Canis lupus familiaris: one gene and its partner. Each later gene encodes a partner of the first gene's protein in a complex. Links are inferred from orthologs where the notes say so. Each region holds a gene or a part of one and is shown on either strand. Other genes may lie near its edges.

Region 1 (4,031 bases):
CCCCGCCCCGCCCCCGAGGCACCTGCGCGTCGGGGACCCCCCTCGGCTCCCGGGCTCCGGCGGGAGGCAAGTTTCTTCCCCGGCGCGGCCACCTGTGCGAGGCGCTCCCCGCGGAGGGCGGCCTGAGCCACCCGCCCGCGCGGCCCCGCAGCTCCCAGGCCCGGCCCGGCCCGTACCCCGCGGCCTCCAGGCCCCGGAGGGGGGAGGGGAGGGGGAGAGGAGGGGGGAGGGGGAGGGGCGGCCCTCCCGCGCGCCCCCCGCACCTCCCCACCCAGAAGTGGCGCGCCCGCCCGCTCCGCCCCGCCGCTCCGCTCGCCAGGCGCCCCCCGCGCGCCCCCCGCGCCCCCGCTCACCCCGGCTCCGTCCCGGCCCCGGCCCCGGCCCCGACACGCCGGCTCGCGCTCCCCGCCCCCTCCGTGACCCCCGCGCCCCCCCCTCGGCCCCGGGCCCGACCCAACCCCCCCGTGCCCCTCCGTGCCCCCTCCGCGCCCCCCCTCCCCGGTGCCCCCCCAGCCCGGTCCCGGTCGCGACCCACGCCCCCCAGGCTCCTCGCCCCCCTGCGCCCTCGCCCCTCCCTGTGCCCCTCCGTGCCCCCCGCCCCCCTGCGCCCACCCGCGCCCCCGCCCCCCGCGCTCCCCGCCCCCCGCGCCCTCAGCCCTCCCCGTGCCCCTCCGTGGCCCCCGCCCCCTGGTGCCGCCCCCCGCCCAGTCCTGACCCCTCCGTGCCCCCCGCCCCCCTGCGCCCACCCGCGCCCTCGCCCCCACGTCGCCCCCAGCCCCGGGTGCCTCCCCGCCGGGTCCCGACCCCGACCCGCCCCCCCGCGCTCCCCGCCCCCCTGCGCCCTCGCCCCTCCCCGTGCCCCTCCGTGGCCCCCGCCCCCTGGTGCCCCCCCCCGCCCAGTCCCGGCCCCGACCCGCCCCCCCGCGCTCCCCGCCCCCCTGCGCCCTCGCCCCTCCCCGCGCCCCCCGGTGCCCCCCGCGCCCCCGCCCGCCCCCGCCCGGCCCCGGCCCCGGCCCCGACCCGCCGGCTCGCGCGCCCCGCGCCCCGCGCCTCCCGCGGCCGCGACAAGTGGGCTCCGCACGGAAAGTCGGCGCCGGAGCGGCGGACTGGGCATGCTCAGAAGCCGGGGCTGGCTCCGGGCTCGAGTGGGAAGCGTCGGCACTCGGGAGGCGGGAGGCGGGAGGCGGGAGGCGGGAGGCGGGAGGCGGCGGCGACTTTGGGGAAAGTTGCCCGGAGAGGGGAGGCGGCCCCGGCGCGCGGCGGCGGCGGCGGCGGCGGCGGCGGAGCATGGGCACCCTGCGGGATCTGCAGTACGCGCTCCAGGAGAAGATCGAGGAGCTGAGGCAGCGCGATGCCCTCATCGACGAGCTGGAGCTGGAGTTGGACCAGAAGGACGAACTGATCCAGAAGCTGCAGAACGAGCTGGACAAGTACCGCTCGGTGATCCGGCCGGCCACCCAGCAGGCGCAGAAGCAGAGCGCCGGCGCCCTGCACGGAGAGCCGCGCACCAAGCGCCAGGCGATCTCCGCCGAGCCCACCGCCTTCGACCTGCAGGACCTCAGCCACGTGACCCTGCCCTTCTACCCCAAGAGCCCACAGTAAGCGGGGGGCGGGGGCGGGGGCGGGGGCGCGCGGGGCCGGGGCGCGGGGCCCGGCGCCGCGCGAGCTGCTGCGCCCTGGGGGCGCCCCCCGCGCGCCGCGCCTCCCGCAGCCGCGCTCGCCGCCCCTGCGCTGCCTCGCGGTCTTTGTCGGATGCCGGGCCGCGGGCTGCTTTCGTTTTTTCCTCTTCTCTTTTCACAGCCCTGCACGGTCGGTCGTAGGCGCCCGCGCGGCCGAACCCGGCCCGCACGCGCCCCAGGTGTGTGTCCGGCCGCGCGCGCGCGCCGCTGAGTGTGAGCGTGAGTGTGAGCGTGCGAGCCAGCGAGTGTGAAACGGGGACTAAAAAGCCCGGCTCCCCCGTGCCCTGGCGAGCCTGCCCGGCCGGAAAATCCCAAATGCAGGCTCATCAGACTGGAAATGCAATGCGTCTGATGCCACCCCTACTTTCCGTGCCTCTCCGTGTGGCTCTCCCGGATTTCTCCCTTTTCACGCCCGGACCCCCCCCCCCCCACCACCCTCCAAACCCCGGGGTGCTGGCATCCTCCAAGTGTCAGAAATAAGCAAATACGCATGTCGAGGGGGTGATTTTTTATTATTTTATTTTATTTTATTTCATTTTATTTTATTTCTGAATTGGATGGCATTTACAGCCCGCAAATGGAAGCCCAGTCTGTTGATTCTTTTTCTTTTCTTTCTTTTTTTTTTTTTTCTAAATACTGTTTTCATACCATCCGAGGGAGAATGGGGCTTGTTTTCCTTAAGGCATTTGCATGATGTTGCCCCTGAGTGTCAGGTGCTTGGGGCTGCTACCCGGAGGGTTGCGGGTTTCCGGGTGGGCAGGAGAAGTACACTTACCTTTAGGGACAGCGTGAACACATCGTCTGCCTCACTCCGGGCTTCTGATGCAACCACTCTGCTGTCGTCCCTGTCCCTGCGTTTAGGGAACTGTGCTCCACGCCGGGGGGCTTCGGGACTCGGGTAGGAAAATGCAACCCCAACTTGTTAGTTAGACGCCTCTCGATGCAGAGACCTTATGGAGAGTAAAGTGGCAGAAACATAGGATTGATACAGGGGGAGGGACAGCGCCCTAAGGAAGGGTATTTCTAACAAATAGATAAGGAGACAAATGATAAAATGAAAGATTTTGCTACTCCCTTCCTAATAGCATCACCCTGGCTGGATGACACGTGTTACATAATAACGCCAGCTCCCTTGGAACCCTTCGTAAACACAAGAAATTAATGTAAGGAGAAAGGATCAGTACGTGATCACCTCCATTTCTGGCTGCCGGATTTGGGGGGCGGCTAGCGAGCACGTGCGAATTAGACTTTTGAGAACTTAAAGAGTTAGGCTTCCCTCCGTAGGTTCCCGTAGAGCTTTTGCTGTTCCTCACGCAGGTTTAGGTTAAGAAGGAGTTGGTGTCCTCCCCAGAGTGCAGGGCAGAAACAGGGAGGATGAACGTTTCGGGGACTCTGACCTCAGCAAGTGGCCCTGCCGGGTAGACGCGGATCTGCCTCAGAAACCTGAAGGATTCGCATCTCCTCCCAACTTTCTCCAGTAAATTAATTTGCAGTCCCGACACGCTTGCCTGTTTTAGCTAACGAGGTACATGGCCGTCTCTCCTGGGCCAAGTTTTGCATAATGAAAAAAATAACTCCAGCTTCTCTGCCTTTTTAAGCATTGCCTAGGATCTCATTTTTGGTACCTGCAGGACTTTGGGGTAACCCGGAGAAAACTGCACTTTTACAAAAAGACCGTTGTAGTAGGTTTTATAATGAAGCATGATCAAGCCAGCCGATAACTCCAGTTACACGTTGCATCAGAGGAGATCTGAAGGATTCTAGGCAGTGGGGAATGAGCTCGAGAAACGTGGTGAAGTTGTAGACGTCTCTCGGTGCTTCACACGTAGGACTGCTAGGTTTTTTTTGTTGTTGTTTTGTTTTTTTGTTTTTTTTTTCCTGCAAGCCCACGGTGGAAAATGGTGGGAAATGAAATTAGCGTGGCAAATAATCCACACCATTCTGTTACAATAAACATTTTATCATGGAACAATGCTGTGCCTTCTGATATTTATTCAATAGCTTGTGCTTTAAAGAAATCAGCTGTTTGAGGTATCACCATGGTGGTTTTGGTGATTCTGAAGGATTATAGTGAAGAAAAGGATAGACTGTCTTCCAAGCTTAAATAATTTTGGAAAAACATCTGTTCTTTTTTCACACTTACATAAAGAAAACTAGAATAAAACTGGCTTAAGTGGTAGAGTGTACCTTTCTTGAGAGAGAAGTTACATTGTATGCAAAATGCTTATACCTTATGCCATTTGATGATGGTGCAAGATAGCTCCGCAAAGAATTAGGAAAACCGGCCAAACCGAACACGACTTGCTCCAGATTTCCATTTATTTCACTATGAATAAGCTGATTATACAGACT
Region 2 (4,255 bases), on another chromosome or scaffold:
AAGAGGCCCGGGCCGCCTCCGGAGCTTCAAAAACGTGTGAGGAGGGAAGAGGTTGCAGACGGAGCCTAGCTGCTGCCTTGTCCTCGGCACTACTGCCACCCGTGCCCACCACCAGCCAGCATGTCCTCTGCTCACTTCAACCGGGGCCCCGCCTATGGGTTGTCCGCTGAGGTCAAGAACAAGGTAAGGCTCCCGTCTGTGGGCTGTCAGCTGAGGTCAAGAACAATATAGGGCCTCTGCCTGGCCCACACACCCTGGCAGGCCAGAGGCCCTGCTCTTGGGGTTCCCTGGACCCCCTCTTGCCTATCCCGTGTGACTTGGAATCAGAGAGGGAAAAAGGACAAATCTAGGGTCGGGACTGCCTTATTCCCCATCCTGAGCATCCCAGAGCCCTCAGCTACTGTTGGGGGACAGGTAAAATGGAGGGCACACAGGCAACCACGGGTAAACTGAGGTGATCTGTCCCCTGTAAAGACCCCCACTTGATCAGAGTCTCCTGTTAACCCGTCCCCTGTTCCTTTTGTGTTCCTGGGGGGCTGGGAAAGGACTCGATTTTCCTCACACACACCCCCATCTCAAAAAGAAACCGGGGAGTGCTTGAGAGTTGGGGTTCTGGGGAAGTGAGGCCCACATGGCGAAGGAGATCCTGAAGGGAGAGGGAGACAGCCGGGAGGTCAGAGACTGAGCATTAGGGACCTGGCAGGGGTCTCCTAATTTTGAGCTGGGAAAACATCCGGGTACCGCCCTTGTGCTATGGATGGCTAAACTGAGGTTCAGAGAGGAGAGGCGAGTAGCTAGGGTTCGACATAAGGGAGTTGCAGAGCTAGGATCCTGGCATCGCCCTCCGCTGCCACCCGGCCACCAAGGCACACACATCCCGGAGTCGGGTTCAGCTTCTCGGGGGCAGTGAACTTCAACTCACTGGAATGCTCCGTGAGCGCTGCCAGGACAGGAGTCCCAGCCCCATTTGACAGAGGGGAACATCGAGGGCCGGGGGTGGCTTTCCCCAGCGTACAGCGAGGAAGCGGGGGAGCTGGCATTGGATCCTGGGTCGGGGGATCCTCGCGGCTGGAGGAGGGGGCTGGGGGGGCGGGTGCTCGGGCCCGGGCGGGATCCCGGCGCCGCCCCCCTCCCCCCGGCGCCGGCCCCAGAGCCGCGCGAAGCCGCCGCGCCATATAAGGCGGCCTCGGGGAGCCCGGCCCGCGGGGCCGCGCTATATAAGGGCCGGTTTGCTTTATAAAGCCGGGCTGGTGGGGAGGGGGGCGGCAGGGCCGGGGCCAGGTGAGGGGCCGCCCCCTCCTACCTCCTCCTCCTCCCCCAGGGGAAGGGGCAGCTCCGTCCCCTCCACCCGCAGTCTCGGAACCTGTCTGGGCTGGGGCGGAGGGTTCTGGAGAAAGGGAGGTGGGGGGGGGGGCGGGGGGCAGGATGGAGAAGGGGGAAGAGAGCGAGAGACGCCGAGCTTCTGGGAGCCTGAGACTTGAGAGGGACGGATGGGGAGGCTGAGCCAGGAGCCAGATAAGACCGAGACAGGGGATGGAGAGGCCGAGAGAGAGGAGACAGAGGAGCCCCGAGCCCCACCCCCCAGCCAGACACAGGGAGATGGGGACAGGAAGGCAAGGCCGAGGAAGGACAGCTGGAGCTGGGGAGACAGAGACAGAGGGTGCGGGGATGGGGGGGCGGGGAGAGAGAGAGAGAAATACCACCGAGCATGCATGGGGCCAGGAGTAAGACAAAGACAAGTGTGTCCTGTCCTCTGTCCTGTCCCCTCCCCCTCCTCCCCGGAGCCTCCAGCCAGAGCCACAGCCCAGAGGATCAGGACCTGGAGAGACACTGAGGCAGACAGACCTGCAAGACAGAACAGTCCCCTGCAAGGCAGTACTCAGAGCCACGTCCTTAGGGCTCCTCCTCCCCTGCCTGAGGCGCCCAGGCTTCCAGCAGGGGGGTGGGGGGGCAGGACCAGGGGAAGCTAAGCCCCAAGTTTGGCCTGGAGGGGGAACCAAGAGGCCAGGCACCACCCCTCCCAGCTCTAAGTACCCCGCTCTCCACCCCCCTTGTCTGCATTCTCTGGTGCCAAACCTCAGAATGTCCGGAATGGCCCCCTGGGCAGGTGCCACCTCAGTCCTGGCCCATTGCCCACTTCAGCCCCCCCATGGACGCTGGAGCAGAATTGCCTTAGTTGGGAAGGGATGAGAAGACCAGGCCTAGGGAACCTCAGATTGGGTCCCTGGAGCCAACTCTGCTCCCCACTCCATCCTTACCACCTTCTCTGTGTCCCCCATCCCCAGCTGGCCCAGAAGTATGACCACCAGCGAGAGCAGGAGCTTCGAGAGTGGATCGAGGGGGTGACTGGGCGCCGCATTGGGAACAACTTCATGGATGGTCTCAAAGATGGCATCATTCTTTGCGAGTGAGTGGGGCAGACTTTGCCTTGGGGTGCCCCCAACCTGGGCATTCATCTTTACCCCCTCAACCCTTCAAATGACTATGAGCTCAGAGCTGGGTTAGGCACTTGATATCTGAGACCTTGAAATAGCATTGGCACAGCAACATTGTGCCCATTTAACAGGAAAGAAAACTGAGGCCCAGTTAAGTAAAACATATCGCCCAGAGGCCCATGCTGTTCTGACAGAAATGACCAGAATCTAGGCTTGATCACCATGCAGACAGGGCAGGCCCATTTATGGCCTCCAGAGTTCCAAGAAAGAGAGGTCACAGCTAAAAGGCAACAAGGCAACATTGGCTGTTCATTGCTGGCTTGGTGACATGAGAGTTATGCCACAGTAACTTAAGTAGGCCTGGTTTTCTACTCTTCTCAGAACTTAAATCACCAGGAGGAATGAAAATCCACACAGCTCTGAGCCCTGGTTCCAGAGTCCACAGCGACACTAATACTGGATCCAGGACCCTGAGCCCAGTAGGGTCCTGTCTGCATCTCTGAGTCTGACCCAGGACAGGGTGACCGTGATGGCCAGAGAGTGCCTTTTGGGAAGCTTCCCGAAGGTGCAGCCTTACCAAGATCTAGGTGCTGGAAAGGGCAGAGTGGGGGGATCTTATTCTAGCATACCCACTGGGAATAAGGAATAGGGAGACATTGTGATGTTTCTAGCTCAGACAGGATTACCCACCCACTCAGTTATTCATTTGTGCACCAAGAATTTATGGAGCACCTGCTGTGTGCAGGTCTAGGCACTGGGGATAGTGAACAGAACAGATTTAACTCTGAGCTCACATAGAGCTTGGGTCCTCATGGGGGAGATTGATCAATCCATGAAAAAACCCCATACTTGCCTGTGGAGGGAAGTGCCATGGGAAGAGTCAAGGGGGAAAGGATGGAGGGCTGGGGTGGGGAAAAGGTTTGCTGCTTCGTAGAGAATGGTCTAGGAGGTCTTTCAGAAGAGATAACATTTGAGCAGAATCTTGGATGAAGTGAGTGAGGGAGCTGGGAGGGCATCTGAGGAAGGAGTGAGCCAGGCAGGGAGTAGGGTATAGGGAGAGCAGCAGTGCAAAGGCCCTGAGGTGGCAGCAAGCCTAGTGTGTTCAAGGAACAGCGAGGAGAGATTAGGGGAAGTGGAGGGAGTTAGCTGGGGGCCAGAAGTTGTAGGGCCTTTCAGTCATGTTAAAGGTTTTAGGATCTTTATTCTGAAGGGAAACCGGGGGCGGGGGGCACTTTTGATCTGGGGAGTAGCTGGAGTTATTTGGAAAAGGCCATTGTAGCTATGAGGGTCTGCAGGGGTCGAGGCGGAACCTGGGAGCCACAGGGGGCCCCTGCAAGAGCACAGGATTGAGGTTCAGACAACTCAGAGCAGCATGGAGGTGGCAAGGAGCCAGGGGCTTCTGGATGTCCTCAGAAGGCAGAGCCAAAGAACCCGCTGAGGGGTTGGGTGTCAAGGAATGGGAGAACCGAATAGGAGAGTCAAGAGCAAGTCTGAGGGTGAGCAGGATGTGTTTACTGAGCCTGGGAGGATGGAAAGAATTGAGGTGGCGAAAGTGGGTGTCAGGAGTCTGGGGTGGGGTGCCTTTGAGATGCCAGGTAGGGAGCTGGATTGGATGGAGAGTGAGAGGCCTGGCTGCGGGGAAATGCTGGGGAGTTGTTGGCATATGGGTGGCATTTTAAAGTCAAGAGACTGGAGGAGCTCGAGGGGGTGAGTGAGGCCAGGGAGGGAAGTTGGGGCCCTGAGCTGCGGGCTCTCCACAGTGCAGTTGCCCCTAAGGGACAAGGAGACTGAGATGCAGTTGCCAGGGAGAGACTCCCGCA

The links.
Region 2: PRKG1 (region 1) and CNN1 share a complex: the UniProt entries of both Homo sapiens proteins name them as parts of the cGMP kinase signaling complex. The link is inferred for Canis lupus familiaris from reciprocal best matches to the Homo sapiens genes PRKG1 and CNN1.

The regions. Positions count from the first base shown.
Region 1 is NC_049247.1:37,109,446-37,113,476, reverse strand, and holds the start of PRKG1 (cGMP-dependent protein kinase 1), read left to right. Parts: upstream 1-1,231; 5' UTR 1,232-1,287; coding exon 1,288-1,598; intron 1,599-4,031. UniProt on the Homo sapiens protein: Serine/threonine protein kinase that acts as a key mediator of the nitric oxide (NO)/cGMP signaling pathway. GMP binding activates PRKG1, which phosphorylates serines and threonines on many cellular proteins.
Region 2 is NC_049241.1:50,230,944-50,235,198, reverse strand, and holds the start of CNN1 (calponin-1), read left to right. Parts: upstream 1-1,455; 5' UTR 1,456-1,490; coding exon 1,491-1,613; intron 1,614-2,285; coding exon 2,286-2,407; intron 2,408-4,255. UniProt on the Homo sapiens protein: Thin filament-associated protein that is implicated in the regulation and modulation of smooth muscle contraction. It is capable of binding to actin, calmodulin and tropomyosin. The interaction of calponin with actin inhibits the actomyosin Mg-ATPase activity.